Linked DNA regions of Styela clava. The protein of the gene in region 1 interacts with the protein of each later gene in a pairwise test. Links are inferred from orthologs where the notes say so. Each region holds a gene or a part of one and is shown on either strand. Other genes may lie near its edges. The genes, in order: centrosomal protein POC5-like, centrin-3-like and uncharacterized protein LOC120336830.

Region 1 (7,852 bases):
TAGAAATTTGCAATAGAAAAACAACCTATGGAGGCATGCAAAGGCATTTGACCCTCCGGTAGAGTTGTGTATGGCCCCCACATCCTGCAGGGCTTGAGGAAAATAACTAAAAATTCCAAAGCGTAAGATTGCATAAGCGGTCTTATTTGTAAAAAGGCACAAAACACGCCAGACATACTTAAAACAGCTTTGGAAATGAGGATTACGGGTACCTCACTGCACCTGTGTTATATTTGGTTCATCAACTTTTGGTAGTACTATAGAAGAAATTCCGGAAGGGGTATAATCATCATTCATGATAAAATAATGTTATATATTTTTTGAACAACTTCAATCTAGACCAGGGATCTCAAACTCGCGGCCCCAGAGAACTTCCAGTGCGGCCCTCGAACGCTTAACATAGTAATAGTATTTTGGAAGTTTTTTTTTTTATCTAAATGTAATAGATTTTTCAAACCTTCTAAAGTGAAATTGATTATTCACACAGAAAACAATTTACTGAAAGTAGATTTGGAATATTAATTTTTTTTGTCCACATTTTGACCCAATTAAGAATACACATCAAGCTAGCAAAAGAATACTTGAATAAAACACTTGAGTAATTAAATTAAACGCAAAGTACATGAAGAAGGTGGCATTTTCGAAGAAAATGGGAGTTGTAACATTTCTGCTCTTCACAAAATTCTGAAGCACATTGTTTAATTTGTCATATTTCCATCAATACAATCAAAAAACACAATAAGCTCAGCAGTCAATATGACAAATTCGAAGACCAACTTCGAACAGAAAATTTCCATGTGTTTGTATATTAATATAATTATACAACGACTTAGTTACTAAAAATCAATATCAATAATAATTCAAGCAATCCTATGCCACGCAATGTAGTGCGAAATGTCTTGTCGAAAAAATCTGTCATTTGTTTTTTTACTGATCTATACATGAAATGATAAAAGTAACTTTTTTGCATTACTGGAATTAATTAAACATTCGTAAAGATCCAGATAAACCCATGATCATGTGGCCTCGTTAGTTAGAGTTGGTACTATAAAATCATTTCAGACTGGCCTTAGTATGCTGGTGACACAAAAAAGATGCCAAACGCCAGGACAAATGTAATTATTAAAACATTGAGTTTATACTGTAGTATTTTTGTTAATTTTAGGTTCATATATTTAGATTAAGTTATTTTTAGTGTATGTATTATTCTTTCCTTATTCAAAGCTTGTTCAAAAATGATTTTGATGGTTGTACATAGAATTTTACGATTTTTTATAATAAATACTGTAACTTGCAAATGTTGCAATAATAGTGGAATGCAAATATTAATATGTAATTGCATTTGAAATTGAAGAAAATAATAAAACTTAATCCAACTGTTTAGTTGCATCACAATATATGTCACAAACTAAAACTATCTTCAAAATATCTTTTGAGTATACATTATCAAAAACTGTTTGCGGCTCTTTTTACAATTTTCAAAATGCAATGCGGCTCTCGAAAACCCATGAGTTTGACACCACTGATCTATTCTAGACGATTCAAGCATTGCTTTGGGAAATTATATCACTTCAATTAAATTGAAATAATCTCGCTATATTAAATACAAAATCGTTGCTATCATAAAGGTAAACCAATTCAGCCACTCGAAATATATTGGCCTTCACAAAGCAATGGAGGCAAAATTGAGAGTTCATGAGCTATGAACATTTGTTCTTTTCTTTGTCTTGAACTTTCCATACTCCACAGCCCCTATTAATTTTTATTAATTTTAATTACCATGTGATGGTCATACATATCTTTAACTTGTATTTTCTGTCATGATGTATTATCTCAATGTGCCAAACTATTAATTAGTGTGCATATTTTGCTTCCAGATGACATAAATGTATTGTCATGTTTATTACCTCAGCTTGGAGTATTGACAAGAAAAAGGTGCCAGCAAATTAGGTAAAAAAATTTTCAACTCATTGTTATAATCAGAATTCACAATCAATAGGAATTATAAACAGCCAACAATCAGTGAGAATTATATGCGAAATCCCTCAGAATAAATTTGTCTAAAATCGGAGGAAGGCAAAAAATATAGGTAGTTTCCATCCACACAAGCATTTCAAGAAGACTTGCTCGAGCCAAACTAAATGAGCATCGTCAGGTGATCGGTAAGGCTGCAAGTTGAATTCAGCCCTGCAACCTCCTGCATAGAAGATAATATTAATTAGTGGGCTATGAGCTAAATTCCTAAATTTAAACAAACCTATCTACGATGCATTATGTACCAGCAATGTTACCTACGATTAACTGAATATGTAATATGTCTAATAAATTCACCTACAAAAGCAAGTTCGATAGGTGCAAACTTTGTGTTATGGAATTGTATCGCAGCACAGTTTTGTATGACACCCTCTTTAAATGAAATTTCAATGATTAAGCGCAAACATCAAAATTACTAACTTTGAACTTTGTCATTATCTGCAAAATGTTCCACACAAATCTTTCCGCTATCGCGTTTGTAATCTTCTCTAATAAAAAAAAAGTCTATGATGTCCAGAATTGCTCTTTACAGCTTGCCTGTTATTCCAGCTTTCCAAGTAAGCAAAACTTCTTAGATATAGAGATTATTTTGTTTCGTTACAGACGCAAAAAGGCAGGTACTACACGTAAAAAAGACGCCGAGTAGCAAAAGCGAGCGGAAAACGGACGCGAAAGGCGACAAGAAATATGTGCATTGGAGCGTATCATGAAATACAATGTTTTGCCTGTAGTCTTATGGAGTGACGTCAGAGTTGCCTATCATGTTGTTTAATGTCATTGATCTGAGCAACAGTGTGATTCTGTGGGTGGATATATTAATTTACGTTCACGCAATGGATATAGTTGGGTACAACCTATATAAAGACCTATTATTTTATTCGTTAAACGTTAGCTCTAACAAAAGCTTTAGACAAGCAGAAACTGACATATTAATTTACGTTTGATGTCCTGCGATATACCAAATATTGTGCCACACTTTAACAATAAATAGGATTTCTACGTTTTCACTTTAAGTAAGGCTTTAGACAAGCAGAAATAGACATATCATTTACATTCACATGGCTGTAGTTTCGCATCACAATAACTTCTGGTGGGTGTGGGTAAGAATTTTTGCATATATCGTTCCTGACAACGTCATTCAAAAATTACGTGACATATTTTAATCTAGATCTCCATGTGACTACGTTATCCAAGAATGATATCACTGCGACGTTTCAATCGCGCAATAGAGCTGATTAAAATCGGGCAAACAGACAGGTACTCACCGTACGATCCCGCATATGCGTTAACGCCGCAACGCACGATTAAGTTAAACAAACAAGGTTTGAAGGTGCGTCAACGAAATAGTGTGTACGTACGTAAACGGGCCCAAACGCTATCAAATTTCTCTAAATCATGCTGTCACGTTACGGATCGTGCGAAATTTAAATGTAACAAGTAGGGCTGGGCATTTCGAATCGAATCGAATAGTAAATTATTCGAATCGATTCAGAGCTAAATTTCGAATCGTCGCCATCTTGTTTTTATCTTTCCGCTAATGGTCGAGGTGAATTCCCCAATTTTATTTTCATTGGAGTCATATCTTTTCAATGAAATTCTAACATATGACTATTTTCTGTAGTGAGTTATTGATAAAACGTGTTTGTTATTCTGTGTGAGCGCTTAGTAATCTATCTGGGTGATTTATTCTATGTCTTCGGTAATTCATTTGTTGAGAGGACCAATTACTATAATAAAATCGCTTACAATTATATATTTTCAAGTATTCGAGATTCGATTCGATTCGAAAAATATTATTCGATTCGATTCTGAAATCACAAGGTATTCGAAAATGCCCAGCCCTAGTAACAAGGCAGTTGCTATGGCTCTCGAACTTTGCCGTTATGACGTCATAACTAAGCGAAGCACTCGGCCGTTCAGGGTTTTAAATGAACTGGGATCTCTAGCCAAGTTTAGTTTGCGCATAAATAGAAGGTAGAACTCACAAAATAAATCGGCAGGCCATGACTGCCTCGCATTTAGCAATTGAGATATAATATTGAAATATATTCAGGTACCGGCAGGAGGCCTGACACGGACCGCGGCTCAATGGAATTCGCTTCTTGTGTACAATGTCGTCAATAAAAATTGCGCACGTACGCGTTAGTTGTGAACGCTGTTGTGTCGGTGGTCTTCTGTGACAGATTGCATACCTTTACCACTCCGTTTTGGCTTTCGTGTCTACATATTTGAGCATCGCTCTCTTGTTTTTTCATTAGGTAACGAATTCCCTCAAAAGATTAATCGACAAATGTCATCGGATCCAACAGTTTAGATTTACGTTGGCAAATGCTTTTCCAAATATAGCTGGATAGTCAAAAATGTTCACGCTCAATTTTTAAAATCGGTAAAAGTTGCTACGCATTTTTACATAAGTATGAATATTTTCATCATTCTGTAGTAGTTCCTACGACGTTGCATAAATTTGCAATAACTTTGTACTATTTATAGACAAATATAAATCCACCCACAATTTTAACAAGTTTACCAGCTACAGCAAGGCTGGAAAGAACTAACACGGTCAAACAACCAGTAAATCCGCGGAGATGTGGAACTTCTACTCCGCTACCCATAAAAGGTAGCATAAAAAAGATAATGATACCAAACGACCCAACAGCTGTTACAACTCGGACATGACGTATTAATGAAGATAAAAATACTGATCCAAGCCATATAATACTCTGATCCGTGATAAAAAAAAATCTAATTTTTGCCAATTGTATTTGCTCATCGGCCTTTATACTGGAGTCGAAAAATCGTTTTATTTATCATTCTACAAAAATTGACTCTATGCACCACAAGTTAAACCGGTAGTCACTGAAGCGAGACCCCGGGTCCGTTGTTTATATTTTTCAAAGTTATTGGTTTTCGATTTTATAGAGTGAAGTACAGGTATTTATTTTTGGAACAAGATTATGTCAAGTACAAGCGAAGATAGCGGAGATTTACCGCGCCTACCGTCGGAAACGTCAAGAGGAAGTTCAGTATCTTCTGGCTTGCAGGTGAAAAATAATTGTGTAAAAAAATCTTGGGGATCGGGTGCCAAATTGCGATGCACATAAATTTAAAAATTCAACGTATTCTGGAACCTAATTTCCAATTAAAGTCATTGTAAAATAATATTGTTCTGATATTATACTTTGTTTAACACTACAGCAATATACATAAAACTCTTACTCTCAAAAAGAAGCAGCACTGAATTAAGGAGGCGCAGTTCTTACCACTTCATGGCAGCTCCTGCCACGCACGAACCGCGGCAGCTCTTGCCATGGTTTTATAGCGCTATTCAGTAATCAGTATTAACAGTATATTCACAAATTAACGTACCAGATTTTAATTGATCGTGCGGAATTATATCTACTTAAACCCTAACCCCAAATACTTAGAAAACCGTAACCATAGCTGCATAAGAAAAACGTCCCAACTTACCCAATATTTGTCACCATAAGGGTCAGCCCTGTCTTTACGGCTCACCTGCGGCAGTTACGGCAGCAAAATTTTACCTGCCATTGGTTTTCAATTTGCTGCCGCAGTAACGGCAGCTTGACATTGGTTTGTGGCAGCTAAAAAGTCAGTCGCCATAGGTTTGGTCGTAGCGGCCATGGTATGGAAATACCGCCATGTTTTTGCGGCAGCTGCTGACGCCACAGAGTACTTGAAACTGCACTTGGAATTAAGGGTGCTGGCTGCATTTAGGATTGGAGATTTTAAAATTTTCACATTGGGCATAAGGACAGGGTCATATGGCACTCCATTGTGCAGACTGTATGGCAGACGAGGCATATTGATTAATTGATGAGCCAGAGAATTTGAAATAAATAAATAAAATGAGGCTAATGAGATGATAAATAATTGATTGAAAAAATATTTTGCTCTACTGACTTCATCTTTTTTTCTTGCTCCAGGAGGAATACCAAGAGCTTCTGAAATACGCCATTGTCACACCGAAGTGGGATCCTACATTTGCACAGACTGAACAACCGTCCGTTTTGCCTCAACTAAGATTGAATGAACCGGACCATCGACCATTAACAACTATTGATGAATATTCAGGTGATGAATATAATTTTCCATACAACAATCTCATGCCTAACACGACCCTATACAGGGAATACTGATATGTAAATAAATACATCTTAAAGTAAAAACAGGCTTACTAATCCCATACATGGACTGGTAAGCGGATGAGAGGCCGGGGTCTGCCACACTCTGCATGGGTTCGCAGGTCGAATCCCATGCGGGGTGGTTATGTGCGAGAGGATTGCTGGACTCCTCGCCGCCGTTGGGTGGTTCACGTAACCGCTGGTCGGTTACGGCTTCCTCCACCATCAAGTCCATGCTTCGGAAAAACAAACACCTAACTAATCCCATACCCGACATGGAATGGTAACCGGACGAGAGGCCGTGGTTCGCCATATGGTTTAGCCATCAAATCGGCTTTCCTCTCCCCCGGGATAAATATGTAAATCTTATCTTATCCTTTAATGATTAGGTTGTCGTATTGCCTTGATGAATGTAATCTGTTTTGACAACGTTTTCATTCCGAACACGAATGTATATAAGGAACCATTGACATGCAGTAGGTCACAGTTCTCCAAATCCAAGATATCCGTAGTTTTGGTCAAATGAAACAATCGTTTTTTTTTTGCCGTACTGTTATGTAAAAAACTACATGCATGAGAAGAAAGAAAGTCCATGTATCTGAAACAAAAAACTGGCAACTAATCCCATATTCGAAATGGACTAGTAACCGGACTAGACGCTGTGTTTTGCCATATGATTAAGCCATCTTATAGATTTACCTCCCCCTCAGAATAAATATGTAAATTCTATCCTTCTATATATTTTTTACACCCGAACTCTCTCCAATTGAACATTGGCTATTCAATTTATAGTAATATGCAAAATTTTTAAATTCAATTTAGATTAGCTTGAAGATTGCTGATTTCAAAAGGTCAATTTTCGGGTCTAGTATAGTTTAGTACCATAAGTACTTCTAGTGGGCGTATCATAACCATTTTTGCCCACGTCATTCATACCCCAACCTTCACAATCACCTCATAGAGCTTGCCGAAGTGTAGCAGCGATTGCCAGTAATGACATCTTGTGCCAAAAAAATGAACTCACTAACCCCAGCGACCTTTCATATATCGGGATCGTTGCAGCAAAAAAACAAAATAGAGCAGTATACACTGTAGCTTGCTTGAATGCAGGTTATTGTCCGCATGTTCGGGACAACGTTCCGTATATTTTGGTGGGTCTTATCTTATTACCTCACTGTGATGTCGTAGTGACATTATTTTTAGATGGCGTAGTCAGATGGGTTAGGAAAGACAAGTTATACTAGACCTAATATTTGTCGGGGGGCAGTTACAATTGACCCAGATGTTGGGTAGAGAAAAATTTGACTTGTCTCTGGGTTAAAAGTTTCTATCTCATCACTGATGATATATACTTGTTTATAGCTGGAAGCACATCACGCACAGAGGAAGATAGCGCAGTTGGGAGTGAGGAACCTGAAACTGCTAGAAAACAAATGGAGCCAACTTGGCAGATGAATAACCCAGGTATGTATGTATATATCAGAGTGGCGGCTCTTCAGAAGTATGTGTACCAATATGGAGTTTACTAATTTGTTCGCCCACTTTACATCAAGTTGTGTAAAGGGACTGAAAGCTATGTACAGGGGGTATATTCACTTGGTTAACACAGACAGTTTGGAACTCGTAATGGAACTAAAAAAAGAAAAATCTGAATATAATTATGACCTAACCTTAAC
Region 2 (6,705 bases), on another chromosome or scaffold:
CGAAAGTATTTGTCATTACTTCAAAAATAAGTCATTTGAACAAGCGGGAAACAATTTCGCGCACATAATAAACAAACAAAGATTCCAGACAACTATCGTGGACATGCTCTCACATAACATTGATTATTTCGCGTTTCGCTTCGCTTGCGAAGCTGAGTCTGGTTTTTCTGCAAAGGTGACGTAACTCTCTTTCAGAAGAGCGCTTGGAATTTCGTTTCTTTGTAACACGTGTTCATCGAAGCGATAAGAGTGTGAAACGTTCTCTCAAAATTTTTTGAAATTTCTCTCTTCTTACACGCGTAGGGTCGAACGGTTTCGCCTACGTCATTTGGGCGCGTTTTAGTAGGAAGACGCGAAAATAAGCTTTTTAAAGAGATATTGGGGGTGTTCCTTGTACGTTTGGTTAACTGGTCATTACATATTATAAAATGGTACATAAAGTCGATTGTATACAGCGGAAAAAAAGGGTTAAAGAAAATAGCGTTGAGGAAGGAACGATTAGGTAGTCAAGATGCCCCCCAATCTAAAGTCAGGAGATGGGATTCAAATTTGTTGAATAAAAGTCGAGAGTCGTTTTTCAATGATTGGCAATACTATATAGAATTCATACCTGCATGTCTTTCTCCCTTTGTTTTGCAAACATTTTGAAAGAGTTGACAATAACACCAGAATTTGAACAATCATAGACAAATATTGATGGCGTTCCCATCCATGTTTGAAGATCATAAATTGATAGCGGAATATATTGAGTATATGTCTAAAAATAATATACAATTATTAATTAATTCTTTTTGCTATGATAATGCTAAACATGTATTAGGAAAAAGAAGTACCTTGTTGAATACCCAAATTTCACCATTAACAGTTGGCTTCGGAACGCCATGGCCATTATAATGAAATAAAACTCTTTCTTCTTTAGAATTTCTTCGCAATGAAGTACATAATCTTTTGACATCTTCAACTGTCGGATCTAGAGTTTGTTTGTAACGAGCCTACAAAATAATAAATACATAACTGTTTTGTAATATACTAAGTGAATGAATATATATTGTCTTACCATAGGTGACTTATAATTTTTATGTTACAATCTGGTCAGCGAAATATATATCAATACATTAAAACTCTATACAAAATGATAAGACAGGGGGGTGTATTAAAACAGTAATTCTTAAACTTTCACAATCCATGGCCCCCTGCATCTCTATAAAAATACCAAATTTTGAAGTTACATTTTGATCAGTTATTTTATGTTCCATGTTTAATATTAAAAAATTCAACAAAAGAAAGTAAATGCATTATAGTAAAATCACAGTCAATCTATTTAGGCCCTGCTTGTGGCCCGAGAGAACCACTCGTTGGGGGGCCGAGAGCCCTATTTGAGAAACCCTGTAGTAAAATGAATGCAGATACAGAGACTAAAATACTAACAGAATGTCAACTATCCTATTAATAGAGTTCCTGGGTCTGTCTGAATGGCAAGTAAATCTCATCCAACACTGATCATTGATCTCAGTCTGAGATTTGGTCAACCTATTTATTAATATTTTAAGTTTTCAAAGTATAATATTCAAACATCATACTCTTGATTGCCATCTTTCATACTGCTTTTGCAAATTATTTCCGATTGCTTCCAATGCTTTTTGAGGTGTGTAGTTAGATGGATCTATAATAAAAGAAACAAATTATATATAATTCAAGTCCTTTATTACAATAAACAAAGTATTTTAATTAAACAAACCTATCCAACATTCTTGTCTGGCACAAGGTGTTGTTTTCACAACATCTGGAGGATCGACACCAACATTTAAACATAGAACAAGTGCAACGCTGACAGTCTTCATCTAAAAATATAAAATGTGCTACTATTGAATATAGTACTGAGATAAAATCACCAATCAATCCCTTGCTAAAAAAATGCATGCCCATATTATACAATGATTGCAATAGAGCAGTGTTTCCCAACCTTTGATGGCTCGTGGCCCCCTTCCGAAAGCTTTCAGCACTCATGGCCCCCTGTTTATCATTCCAGTGGTATTTATAGTGTTACTTTGATGGGTAGATTCCAAATCCCATTATGTTCAAACAATTCATGTTCAACAAAATGAATCTACCATGTGAAATAACATTTCCAAGCAATGAAACTAGGAACAACAGGAAGTTTTCTTGTCAAGGGAAAAGTAAAATCAGTTTTGCGCCCTGCTCTGTGGCCAATTTACAGGGCCATGGGCCCCCGGCCGAGAACCGCTGTATTAGAGTGTTTATACTTGTAATGAAAAATGTGTACTGTTTTATTTGAAATTTTTATTTATATGTTTATAATGTGAATAATAATAACTCAGTTATTGTTAAAGGAATTAGTTGAAAGAACATTAATACATAGCAAATTAATATTTATATTTAAAGTAATAGTTGCATTTAATAGAATTTCTATAAAACCAATTCTCAACTATTCAAATAATAATATTATTCCAGTAACATCACAATTGAGTGAATATCTTCCATACTAAGTAAATATTCCGCTGAAGGGTTTTATATAAGAAAACACAAATTTTGATACAATGCTTAATTTAATTTGAATATACATTTCAACATTCGATCTACATGAATAGATATGCATACATGTTTCACAAAAATGCAACATTGGATGAAATAATACAATTATCATTAAATAATAATGAACAAAATTGACAGTTATAATATACAACAGAAACACCTACAAAACATCATATAATAAAACGCACCTCTATCAACAAAATTAAACAATTACCCTTTCTTTCATTCTCCATGTTTGTGTGACTGGCTTTGAACTTGTGATGCTTTCCAAGTGTCTTTTTTGTTGAAATGCCAGAGGTAAATTCCATCCTGCTTCCATCATATTATGAAGAATCTCAGCATCCTCATCTACAGTCTCCCCCTCTTTTTCTTCATCCTTTTCAATCCCTCGACCCAACATAGTCTTCAACCAAGCTGATCAATTTACTATAAAACTCTAGTAAAGGAATGGAAGAATGTAGACATTCGGTATAACAATTTTGGCTTCAGCCCTACAAAAGCTGCAAAGCCACAGCTGCACAGATACAAAAAAGGAGAGGTCTGCAAAATAATCAATCTTAACTTCTAAATCTGTATTTTGAATTCTGTAATATCAGTTTCATTGCAAGTTTTGGTCGATAGCATATGTGTAATTATTGAATGGATAGGATTTTCATATGAATCGCTGGGATCTGAATAGAAATCCAAGACTGCAATGATATTAATCACATATCATCATAATCGTACGTAATTTTGTAAAAGAACGACATCCATATTGAGACAAATTAGATTTGACAATACTTGTGATTTTATAGCTTTACTAATGACTTTATACGCCGAGAATATGAGAATGTCACAACACATCTGACATCTTTATGTTTATTTATTATACAGACGCTGTTAAACAGTGAGACAAATTAACATACACACATACAATGAACGCCGCACCATGGTTAACTGAATATAGTTAGCATGGTTAACTGAATATCATGACAAAGCTTTCACGAATATTTTTGCTCAATGCTGCCACCTTGTGAATTTGAACACCGCCACTAACCGTCAGTTTTGACTTGATTGTGTTTTTGTTTTGTCGGTTCCGTTTGAACTTTTATAATACTTTGCAATTCTAGCGCTGAGTTTGGAATAGAAAAGGTATGTAGACTATATGTAATTATTATTGATTCTCACAACAATATTGATATTGCATTTGTTGAATACAGCATTGGACGACAACTTCTGCTGTTCTGGGATTAGACTTTCCTGGCCATACATGCTTGCATAGCTTTTGTCCTTGTATAGAGTACCGGTACCGTAATCCTATTAGATTTTTTAGAAAACATAATACATGTACGGTAGTACAAATATAAAAGAAGGAAAACATGAAACTACTGTAATTCTATGGCTAGTGATAGTTTATTTTTTCTGCATGAATATTTCCCGTACCTTAAAGCGATTTCCCGTCATTCCCGCTTTTTGTGAAATTTCCCGCTTTTTAGTGAAATTTCCCGTAGTTCCCGCATTTTAGTTTTTGCAATTTCCCGTCGTTCCCGCAGTTCCCGCATTTTAGTGCATTTCCCGTTTCCCGCATTTTAGGGTTGCCCCAGGATTAGTTCATGTAAAAATATTCACAACAATAGGCTGACAAACTATATGAAAACTTTCAATCACAAGTTAATGTGAGATATATTACCAATATAAACAAAGTCACGAATAAGAAATCTCGCAGGAAATGATTTGTGTGTATTATGTCTGTATGTGGAAAAGAACATGAACTTCTGAGTCATCTATTTATGAACTGCAGAACTGTTTATATTTTGATTCATTGAAAATACTGTTAAAAAATTTAAAAAAATATTTAATGCTAGACTTTTGTGCCATTTTAATGCCAATATTGTGTTTTATTAGACTTTTGAGTTTTTTACTACTAGAAGACATTTGATTAGCCTATTATTGTGTTTTAAGTTACCATTAGTAGATATAAAATATGGTTACAAAAAAATGTATTATATGTCAAGGCAGTACTCGTATTTACCATATATAGTAATTAAACAAATAAAAACAGCAATCACTTATCTCTGTTTTATCCAATGCTGCCTGTTCTGAATTTATGTTCCTGACAAAAAAAATCTAATCATTTTTTTTTCTTCATAATTGCCTTTTATAGAATTAATATTAAAAAAATAATTTCAAGATGAGTTTGTCTCTACGTGGAGATTTTGGACTGGAAAAATCCAAACGAAAAAAGCGGAGGGAGATTTCAGAGGAACAGAAACAAGAAATTAAAGAGGCTTTCGAATTATTTGACACAGACAAGGATAAATTTATAGATTATCACGAACTCAAGGTCGCAATGAGAGCATTAGGGTTTGAAGTAAAAAAAGCTGACGTCTTGAAAATTTTGCGAGAAAATGACAGAGAAGAAACTGGAAAAATCAGTTTTGATGATTACAATGATGTCATGACAGACTTAATTCTTGAAAGAGATCCCCAGGAAGAGTTGACAAAAGCTTTTAAACTCTTTGACGATGATGACAGTGGTAAAATATCATTAAGAAATCTACGTAGAGTTGCTAGAGAACTTGGTGAAAATATGACAGATGATGAATTGAGAGCCATGATTGATGAATTTGATACTGATGGTGACGGCGAAATTAACCTGGAAGATTTTATTGCGATTATGACTGGTGATACGTGAAACAATTCAAGCTTTAAAACTATCAAAATATTGAGTACAAACATATCTTCCTTTGGAGAAAAAATTTATTTGGAAAAGTTCTAGAATAGCATCTGATTAAAAATGTATATATGTAGTTGTTTTGGGGATTTTGGTTGGAATTATCTGACTATATAGCACGGGGGAATATCTTCTTAATTTTGAACAGAGACTTTGGACCATAAAAAATATTGATAATTCTCTAAATATTAGTTGAGATATTTGCTCCGAAGTATATGTTAAAACTCCATCATCATTTGCACTATGCTTTGCATACAATCCACCCTTTTCATCAGTATACTTTTTATATCATTATTATAAATTCACTTTGCAATAGTATCTATTTTTGAGCGGAACAAAATTCATTGGCAAGGAAATATTCAATCCTAATTCATTCAGTACATTTTATAATCCAGGTAGAAGGCTGTAAGTAGCATATTTTTTTTAAATATTTTTGCGACAGCAATTTACACAATGTTTCTTCACACAACTTTATTATGTATAGTTTTCTATGTTGTTTTATTAACTGATACAAATCATCTTCACAGGAGAAGACCGGATATATAAAATAAGTAGGTACTTCTCGGGCATTGTCTCATTCAAAACCAATATATTTCAGCATTTGTGACAATCCTCATTAATACATTTATATAATCTATTACTCTATTGCTGCTTATTTTTTGTTGCCCCAGCTAATTTTACAAAGCTTGTTGTTTTGTTGTCAATTTTTCATTTTTTTGTGTAATTTAGGGAGATGAAAAGATGGTTGATTCAGTCATTTTTGATATATTTGTTTGCATATTAGTACTTGAATATACGTCTGTGAATAAAATTATTTTTGAAATTGGTGCATCACTCTTAAGGCTAAGCTGTAAATAAGCACCAATCGAAGCTGTCACAAATGTTGTTCGCCCTGGTCGACTTATCGAAAGCAGTCATCGGGCGACGGGTGTCCCCAACCAATCTAGACACTTATCAAATTAATTCTTTTAAATTAATTAATCAAATATCGAATCAAATATATGAGTCCAAACTGAATATGTACCGTTATCACTATTTTCGTCGATACCAACAAAACGCCGATATTTCAGATTGCCGATAATATTAGGCTTACCATACGTCCCGGTTTTGACGAGCTGTCCCGGCCGGTTGACTCAAATGTCCCGGTTTGTCAGCACGGCTGTCATGGGTGAAAAATTCATATTCCTTATTGTTACAATTTTTTTTAACGGTGGCAGCCCATTTACCACTGTTTTGCGACACACTTCGCTAGTTCAGAGAGTAAAAAATGCTCTATTGTTATGTCACAATCGGTATATGTTTTAATGCGTTTTCTGGCGTTAACTACAATGCCGTTAAGTTGTCGAAATGCCATAAAAGAAGTACAAATTTTCTAATGAGTTGAAAGGAGATTTTGCGCAAACGGAAGGAGGGAAGGTACACTGTACGCATTGCAGATC
Region 3 (7,221 bases), on another chromosome or scaffold:
ATTTTCTTCTGTTTTGCAAGACCTTCGCGACCCCCCTAGAAACCCGCCGCGACCCCCAGGTTGAGAACCACTGGGCCTTAGAGGATTTCTATGTTGGCTTGAACAGGGTGGGTGGGAGGCTTGGACCTTCCGGCCTCCAAAGAGACAACAAACTTGACTAGGTGCTATTCCCAATGACTGCATTAATTTGCAGGCTTAGAACTTGTTTGTGCCATTCTCAACGTTTGAATTTATTATAATTAGGACGTTTATTCAAAAACTATTGATTATCAGAATTAGACTCGTGTTAAACAATTTCCCCTTACGATGGAATCGATTACAATGGATTTTTAACTGTTTTTTGCAGCCCATGGACGAGGAAAGTCTTTGCACTATTTGTTATGCTAATGAGATTTCAGTTTCTTTCAATCCCTGTGGTCATACTTCATGCAAGTAAGTATATGTTATATTGCAATACAATTTAATTATATGAGGTAATTATGTATATAGGAGCTTATGTATGCCTTATATGCGAAAAACGGGTAAAGGTTTTTTTCTACCCCCGCGGGAAAAATGCCGTCTTCCGTCTCGATAGTCCATAAACTGAGGAAGATTAGTGAACTTGTTTCAATCATTCGCGCAAAGATAACTACGAGTTGCACAGCACTCAAAATGAACTGGCACTTTTGGTACAATTTTTTGTGCAAAACATTGCTGGTGGATTGATTACCCTGCATTGACGGAGATCATACTGGGCGCCTGTACCGGTTTGTTTAATTATAATTATAATTACATCTTTATTCCAGGTCCTGCATCAGCCACCAACTAATGAACGCCAAGGAATGTTTCTACTGCAAAGCAATAGTTGAAAGTTTCAAGCCAATTGAAAATAAATAAATGTAGTTTGATTTTAAAATATAGAACTTGCGCCTTACTACAACGCCTTATGACGAGGAATATTGAACCAAATTAGTACTATTTACGACTGCTTTATACTCGGATAACACTGGCTCCATTTAAAACATAGAAAACTAGTAAAAAAACATGTATTTTCTTTTTTCTTATCCAAATCACGATAATGAAATTTCTGGTTCTGGTATTTATGACCCATGATGTAATTGTGGTTGTCTCCCACCATGGTATTAGTGTCGACAAATTCTGATTCTCAATACGGAATTGTGAAATTGGGCTCAAAAAAAATGTTAGGCAATTATATAATAGATACAAGTTGGTTACAAATGAGCTTATTCCAATACCACAAATCCGTTTTGCTTAAAAATAGCATAAACTCGATTTTCTCTAGTGATATATTTTTAATAAATATTAATTTTCAATCTTTTTGTGTAATTTCGATTGGGCCTATTTATTTTATATTTCAATGGGTGTGAAGGGAAATTTTTAGTTCATTAGAATTTTGGCGGCTTACGTTAGCATGTTAAGTATCGGTGTGATCATTTCAAAAACTTTGCTCTGGATATCATTTACATTATTTCCATTTTTATATTTCATACCTTTGGGGGGGATAAGACTCTGTCCCCTTATCCAGCGTGCAAAAATTTGATGGGGGATACAACTTGTATTATAGCTCACTCCTGTGTTACTCTAGTCGCGTTAGGTCCTAGTTATGAGGGCATTGAAGTGATGTTTTGTCGACTCCAAAAAATGGCACCTTGTAGCCCTTGAAAGGCACAGGATAATGGAAAATGCTCTTAATCTATCTGTAGCTAATTAAACGGAACCTATTTTCTAATTGAACTTTATTGTTTGCCTATTATGCTAGGCTATGTTCTTATGTCGATTTGATTTTTTTTTTGTAAATTTCGCACTTTGTAAAATGCATTTAATTTGCAGGCAAATTTCAATCTTCAATTCATGTTATTTTGTATTTTAACATGGTTACACCTCTCCAATCTCATGTTCTTTTGATGATCTAAGCCAGTGGTTCCCAACCTTTTTTTCAAGCAACCCAAATTTTTTAAAAAAAAAATTTGTAAACTCTTGCCACCCGAGGATATACTCTCATACTAAACGACGCGTAGTACTTTTATAGTGCTTCGTGGTGGGACCGCGGGGGTTTATTTAAACGAAATAGATGCTGCCAATATTTTACAATGTGATACTTCTCGCATTTACAATTACTACTGAGCTACTCCACAATACTAAATATAAAATAAACAAAACAATTTCCTAAAAAAACAATAATTTCCAAGCTTGCGGAAAAAATAAGGGACCCAAGATGATTTCCAGGCGATCCAGTTTTGGGTCGCGACCTATAAGTTGGTAAACACTGATCTAGACTAACAATGTAGCGCATTTTATTTTAGCTAAATAGATTGAAGAATATTTGACCATTGGTGTAATAAAGATAAGAAGGTCAACCAGAAGTTAATATGAATGAAAACAAGCTTTGAATGAGAGCCGTAGTCACAATTTAGGTCAACTGCTAGAGTTCGCATAAAATGCCTATACTAGTAATTTTTTCACAAGTTTTACACGTAACCATTTGTTATGATATAATATCGTATTCTGTGATTTGCAATCTTTATTTTGTTCATCACAAAATATGCAATTATTTTGTTAAAAAGGTATGTTTTACTCATGAATATTATTAGCCCGAATCTTCTGTACAAAGCATTATTAATAAATTTTCCGGATATCATTGTACACTTGTTATCCATAGTTTCAATCAGAATTGATATACCAGGGTTCCTTGGACTTCATGTACCGCTTCGTTTCAACTGAATTGGAAACGCAAGACCGTGTGAGAGGAAACTGGCGCGTTAAAAATTATCCGTTTCCAGTTATGTTCAAAGTTAGTCCGATTTTGTCTGTCTTATTCAAGACGGACTTGTGGAATTTATGTTCTATTTGGAATTGACTACTATTTTATCTGAACTTACTTAGTGTTGGTGTAAATCAGCTTTATTGTACTGCTGGATGCCGTTGCCCATCAGGCAGTTAAAGACTTCGACGATTGTGCTGATCCTTATCTCATTGTCCTATCATCTTTGCCAATCATTAGCTCATTGAAACACTGATTATTGACAACCTGGAACCACGTTTACTGCTGAGCGATAAACAGTATAGGTTTCTTCAAAAACTTTTCACCACCGATTTGTTTACGATGATAGCCAAATTCGTATGCGCTCATTAGTTCGGCAGTGGGAGGTAACCTATGTTGTAACGAATTCCCGACAGGTTTATTGTCCTCCTTGACCAGTGCTCTTTTACTTCCGGAGGTACACGGTGTTAAATTGTTGGATCTAAAGAGCACTTTATATTCCTCAATGACCTCTAGCGCAGGAATGGAAAAATTGATAATAAAACCGAATCCCTGTTTTCGTACAAGGATTTCGTAGAGTACGATAAATCGCCTCAGTCCGTATATAAGTGCTGCATGTGTTAAGCTCGAAACCATGTCAAAGATACACAATACCAATCAACGATTATAAGACGTGTAGAGAAGATGCGACGGCAAGTTTCTCATTGATGCAGACTTCGATAGAACCCACTATGATATGACCGACAGTCTACTTTTCCACACGAAAAAAAAATTTTTTTTTTGACTCATTCAACAAAGAAGGTTTGTCCGTTCTACTGAGTTGTGACCCGTGAGTGCGTAAATTGCCCGGTATCCCGAAAATGTCGTGTACGACTTGTCCGGAGTGTGAAAATTGGCTTATAGGTGAACCTCATTGAACTATTGTAATTACTATTTGTAAAAATATTTCTTAAATTAAAAATTTGAATCGCCTATCGACACGCCAGTGTTTCAAGAAAGCCGATATTCCGATAATAACTAATTATCATCTTGATTGTAAGGAACAGGCAAGATAAAATACTTGTTTGCAAACAGTATTTACAGTGATCATTGTTTCAGCTTGACGAACAGGTATTCCAGACAGAGCATACGAAATTATTATTTGGGATTCAAATAATGGCGTGTCATTAGAATCGATGCCAACAGTTTGAAGAACTTAAATCAATTGCACAGTAAATTGCTTTGAAACGCTGTACGTATGCACAAAACTTACACTAAAGTAAGACTTTAAATCCAAATAGTGAATCATGTCTCGCCGTCGCAGCAAATTCATAACCAAGGAAGTCGCATATGGGTGTGAATGCGGTAAGAGATTACAACACCAAGTTTGCCATGCTGAACAGATCGGAGTAAAAGTATGACGGATGTGGTCAAGGATAATAGATAACGTTATTAATTTTCAGCGAAATGTCGAGTCCTTTGAGAGGTACCGTAATTTGAAAATGACCTCCTAGCGACATCAGTCGAATTATGGTTATTTGTGACCCTTGAGCTCATTTTAGTGTTTAAATTGACTTATAAGCCAGTGAAAACTAGACCTCCTATTCTTCTTCTTCGCTTGTCTCCGGCAATTGATCGCTTAGTCTCGTTTAATATTTAATCATCTGCGATTACGTATTCACGGAACTACATGAGAAAGTTGATGCTCAGTGAAAAAAATTAATAAACCAACAAATTTGAGAAAATTCGTTGCTATCGATCGTAAGTTCAAAGGTCACAAAATTAAAATCCGTTTCCAACGGTTTTCTTGCGTTTGTTTTGATTTCGTGGGTTGATCGACGTCTGGAAGTTTTTCATATTCAACTTTGTGTTTAGCTGTCAGGCGTCGAGCCAGATTGAATATTGGTGAGTTATTTTGTTTCTAGAAGTTTAATTACTGACCTAATATGTGAAAACTTTTTGTGCAAAGTGTGTAATGTATTTTTCATCATCTCTACATTCTGACATTACGGTATCTGCTTGTCTGTTGACCCCCTGGTTTCATAGATTTGTTTTGTCTGTTATGTTAATTACCACTCTCTATGTTATATTTTAATAAAATATAAATACCTTATGGTACCAGAGCTATGTTTTCTTGCAATCCTGTAATCACTTGTAGGCCTATAATAAGGTTTTTCTGTTATCCTAGTTTACAATGACTGCAGGACTGTTTGGCCCAGTTGTTTACTGACTGTGTAACAGCATCAGTATACTGCCCAACTAGTATAGCAGTGTACAGATGCGGCTTTGTTTATTGAGGTATCCGGGATATCAGTAGATATTGATTGCAATTTTGAATGATAAACGCCACACAGCATACCATAATTCTGTGATTTAAGACAATACAATACAGAATTGATAATAATTAAATAAACCTGGCTTAGTGCAAAGAATTAGAGGTTTGCTACCCATACTTGTTACCCTAGGATAGATTTTTAATGGTCGTCTGAGAGACCAACTGGGCTCCCCATGACACCGCTGGTTGGTAACTGGTTTATTACTGGACGAGATTGTATGGTTCACCAAAAGCAGTAATGGTCGAGCAATTTAATTATGTATCATATTCAATTAATATGTACATTAGCCAACAGCCTTGTTGTTGTCTAGTGTCAGAGTGTGTAAGCATATACTTGCTTTTTAACCAAATTCAATAAACAATCTTTATATAAATAATTGAATAAACACTTTTATTCACAATATTAGGTAAAGAAACAAAATGGCAAGCAGTTACAAAAAGAACATTGGTGGACAGAAGCGTAAAGGTGGTGCAAGAGCTGAACTCACAGAAGAACAAAAACAAGAAATAAGAGAAGCATTTGATCTTTTTGATGCTGATGGTTCAGGAAATATCGATGTCAAAGAATTAAAAGTAGCAATGAGAGCTCTTGGGTTCGAACCAAAGAAAGAAGAAATTAAAAAGATGATTTCAGAGGTAGACAAAGATGGTACAGGAATGATTGATTTCAATGAGTTTTTGCAAATGATGACACAGAAAATGAGTGAAAAAGATTCGAAAGAGGAAATTTTAAAGGCTTTCCGTTTGTTTGATGATGATGAAACTGGTAAAATTTCATTTAAAAACTTGAAACGGGTTGCAAAGGAACTTGGTGAAAATTTGACCGACGAGGAATTACAGGAAATGATTGATGAGGCAGACAGAGATGGTGATGGTGAAATAAATGAGGCCGAATTTCTTCGAATAATGAAGAAGACAAGTTTATATTGATGTAATATAATTTTTAACTTCTCAATATCCATAAAATCTGCTGCCTATCATTACAGGTCGATTGTAGATGATAGGCCAGTGACACGGTCTTGTTCATTTTCATCATTACCTGTACCTGTGAAATTCAAGACATCATTTTTTGTTGAATAGTTCCATAAATTAGTTAAATACATTTAAACTGATGGCATATCAGTAAGGTGCTATATTTAGGTTCCAAATTTCATTCCTATTACCTCTGAATATTGTATTCTCGAAATTATCACAACTGAAGGGCCCTATTAAAGTATGATAAATGGCCTATCTGATTTTCTGGAATAAATTTGTTTAAATACCCTAAATTTTAAGACCATATTTAACTACAACAAAATGCCCTATCACAAAATGGCTGCTTTATTAATCTCTTTTTTAGTAAAGTTGTGGGTGGTTTACATTAGTTTCACCATGCTGTGTGTCATTTCTTCCTCTGGAAGAGACTTCACTCCTGTAATATTTTTGTTTGTGGACCAATTGTTATTTTTTTACTTTGCATCATTCTTCTTCCTGTTTGTGATTTTATGAGTGTGTTTGATACAACATATATTGTTTGTAAAAATGGTTTTGTTAGAATATTTCGCACATCTGCTGTTTTCTTTATTGGGTGACTGTCAGCCCAAGCATGTATTCAAAGTTGAAGCTAGGATTTGGTATGCTTGTTGTTTTATGCAGAATTTAGGCAAAATTTGAAGACATGATGTCAATGGATGGTTTTGACGTGGATATTACACCCACACCCATATCCGATCTACCCAACTCCAATAGGTATCTTTTTTTCCACACTACAGTATATTTAATTGGTATTTGCTACTATTGGTAGCAGATATCTGAAATGGAGATATGAAGAATTGAAACATGCTTACCGCTAAAACTAGAATAGATGATAAGCAATTGTGACTATCTATGTTTAAAGGTTCGGTGTAAAAACCTAATCAATTGGCAGACCATAGCCTCTCAAGGAGCTTTTAGCTCATGTTGGGTAAGTGAACAGTTTTCTGGCGTATTGATGACATGCCACCAAAGGTTACGCGAAAAGCCATTCATTATCTCACACAGTATCACAACTAGGGCTGGGCGGAGTATTCGAATAGCGAATCGAATATTAGATTATTCGAATGGCATTTTACTATTCGAATATCCGGTACCACGTGACCTGCGACACTTTGCTTGGACACAGAACTCG

Evidence for each region.
Region 2: the proteins of centrosomal protein POC5-like (region 1) and centrin-3-like interact in binary tests that used the Homo sapiens proteins (3 or more experiments, as listed by UniProt). The link is inferred for Styela clava from reciprocal best matches to the Homo sapiens genes POC5 and CETN3.
Region 3: the proteins of centrosomal protein POC5-like (region 1) and uncharacterized protein LOC120336830 interact in binary tests that used the Homo sapiens proteins (3 or more experiments, as listed by UniProt). The link is inferred for Styela clava from reciprocal best matches to the Homo sapiens genes POC5 and CETN1.

What each region holds. Positions count from the first base shown.
Region 1 is NC_135261.1:1,715,443-1,723,294, forward strand, and holds the start of centrosomal protein POC5-like, read left to right. Parts: upstream 1-4,747; 5' UTR 4,748-4,988; coding exon 4,989-5,075; intron 5,076-5,978; coding exon 5,979-6,126; intron 6,127-7,538; coding exon 7,539-7,640; intron 7,641-7,852. UniProt on the Homo sapiens protein: Essential for the assembly of the distal half of centrioles, required for centriole elongation. Acts as a negative regulator of centriole elongation.
Region 2 is NC_135263.1:8,826,903-8,833,607, reverse strand, and holds centrin-3-like, read left to right. Parts: upstream 1-4,664; 5' UTR 4,665-4,723; coding exon 4,724-5,227; 3' UTR 5,228-6,089; downstream 6,090-6,705. Other genes in the region: regulatory-associated protein of mTOR-like, read right to left, coding at 611-757, 834-992, 1,581-1,663, 1,739-1,841, 2,768-2,953. UniProt on the Homo sapiens protein: Plays a fundamental role in microtubule-organizing center structure and function. As a component of the TREX-2 complex, involved in the export of mRNAs to the cytoplasm through the nuclear pores.
Region 3 is NC_135251.1:24,741,399-24,748,619, forward strand, and holds uncharacterized protein LOC120336830, read left to right. Parts: upstream 1-4,220; 5' UTR 4,221-4,645; intron 4,646-5,482; 5' UTR 5,483-5,495; coding exon 5,496-6,005; 3' UTR 6,006-6,689; downstream 6,690-7,221. Other genes in the region: E3 ubiquitin-protein ligase RNF123-like, read left to right, coding at 347-432, 786-876. UniProt on the Homo sapiens protein: Plays a fundamental role in microtubule-organizing center structure and function. Plays a role in sperm cilia formation.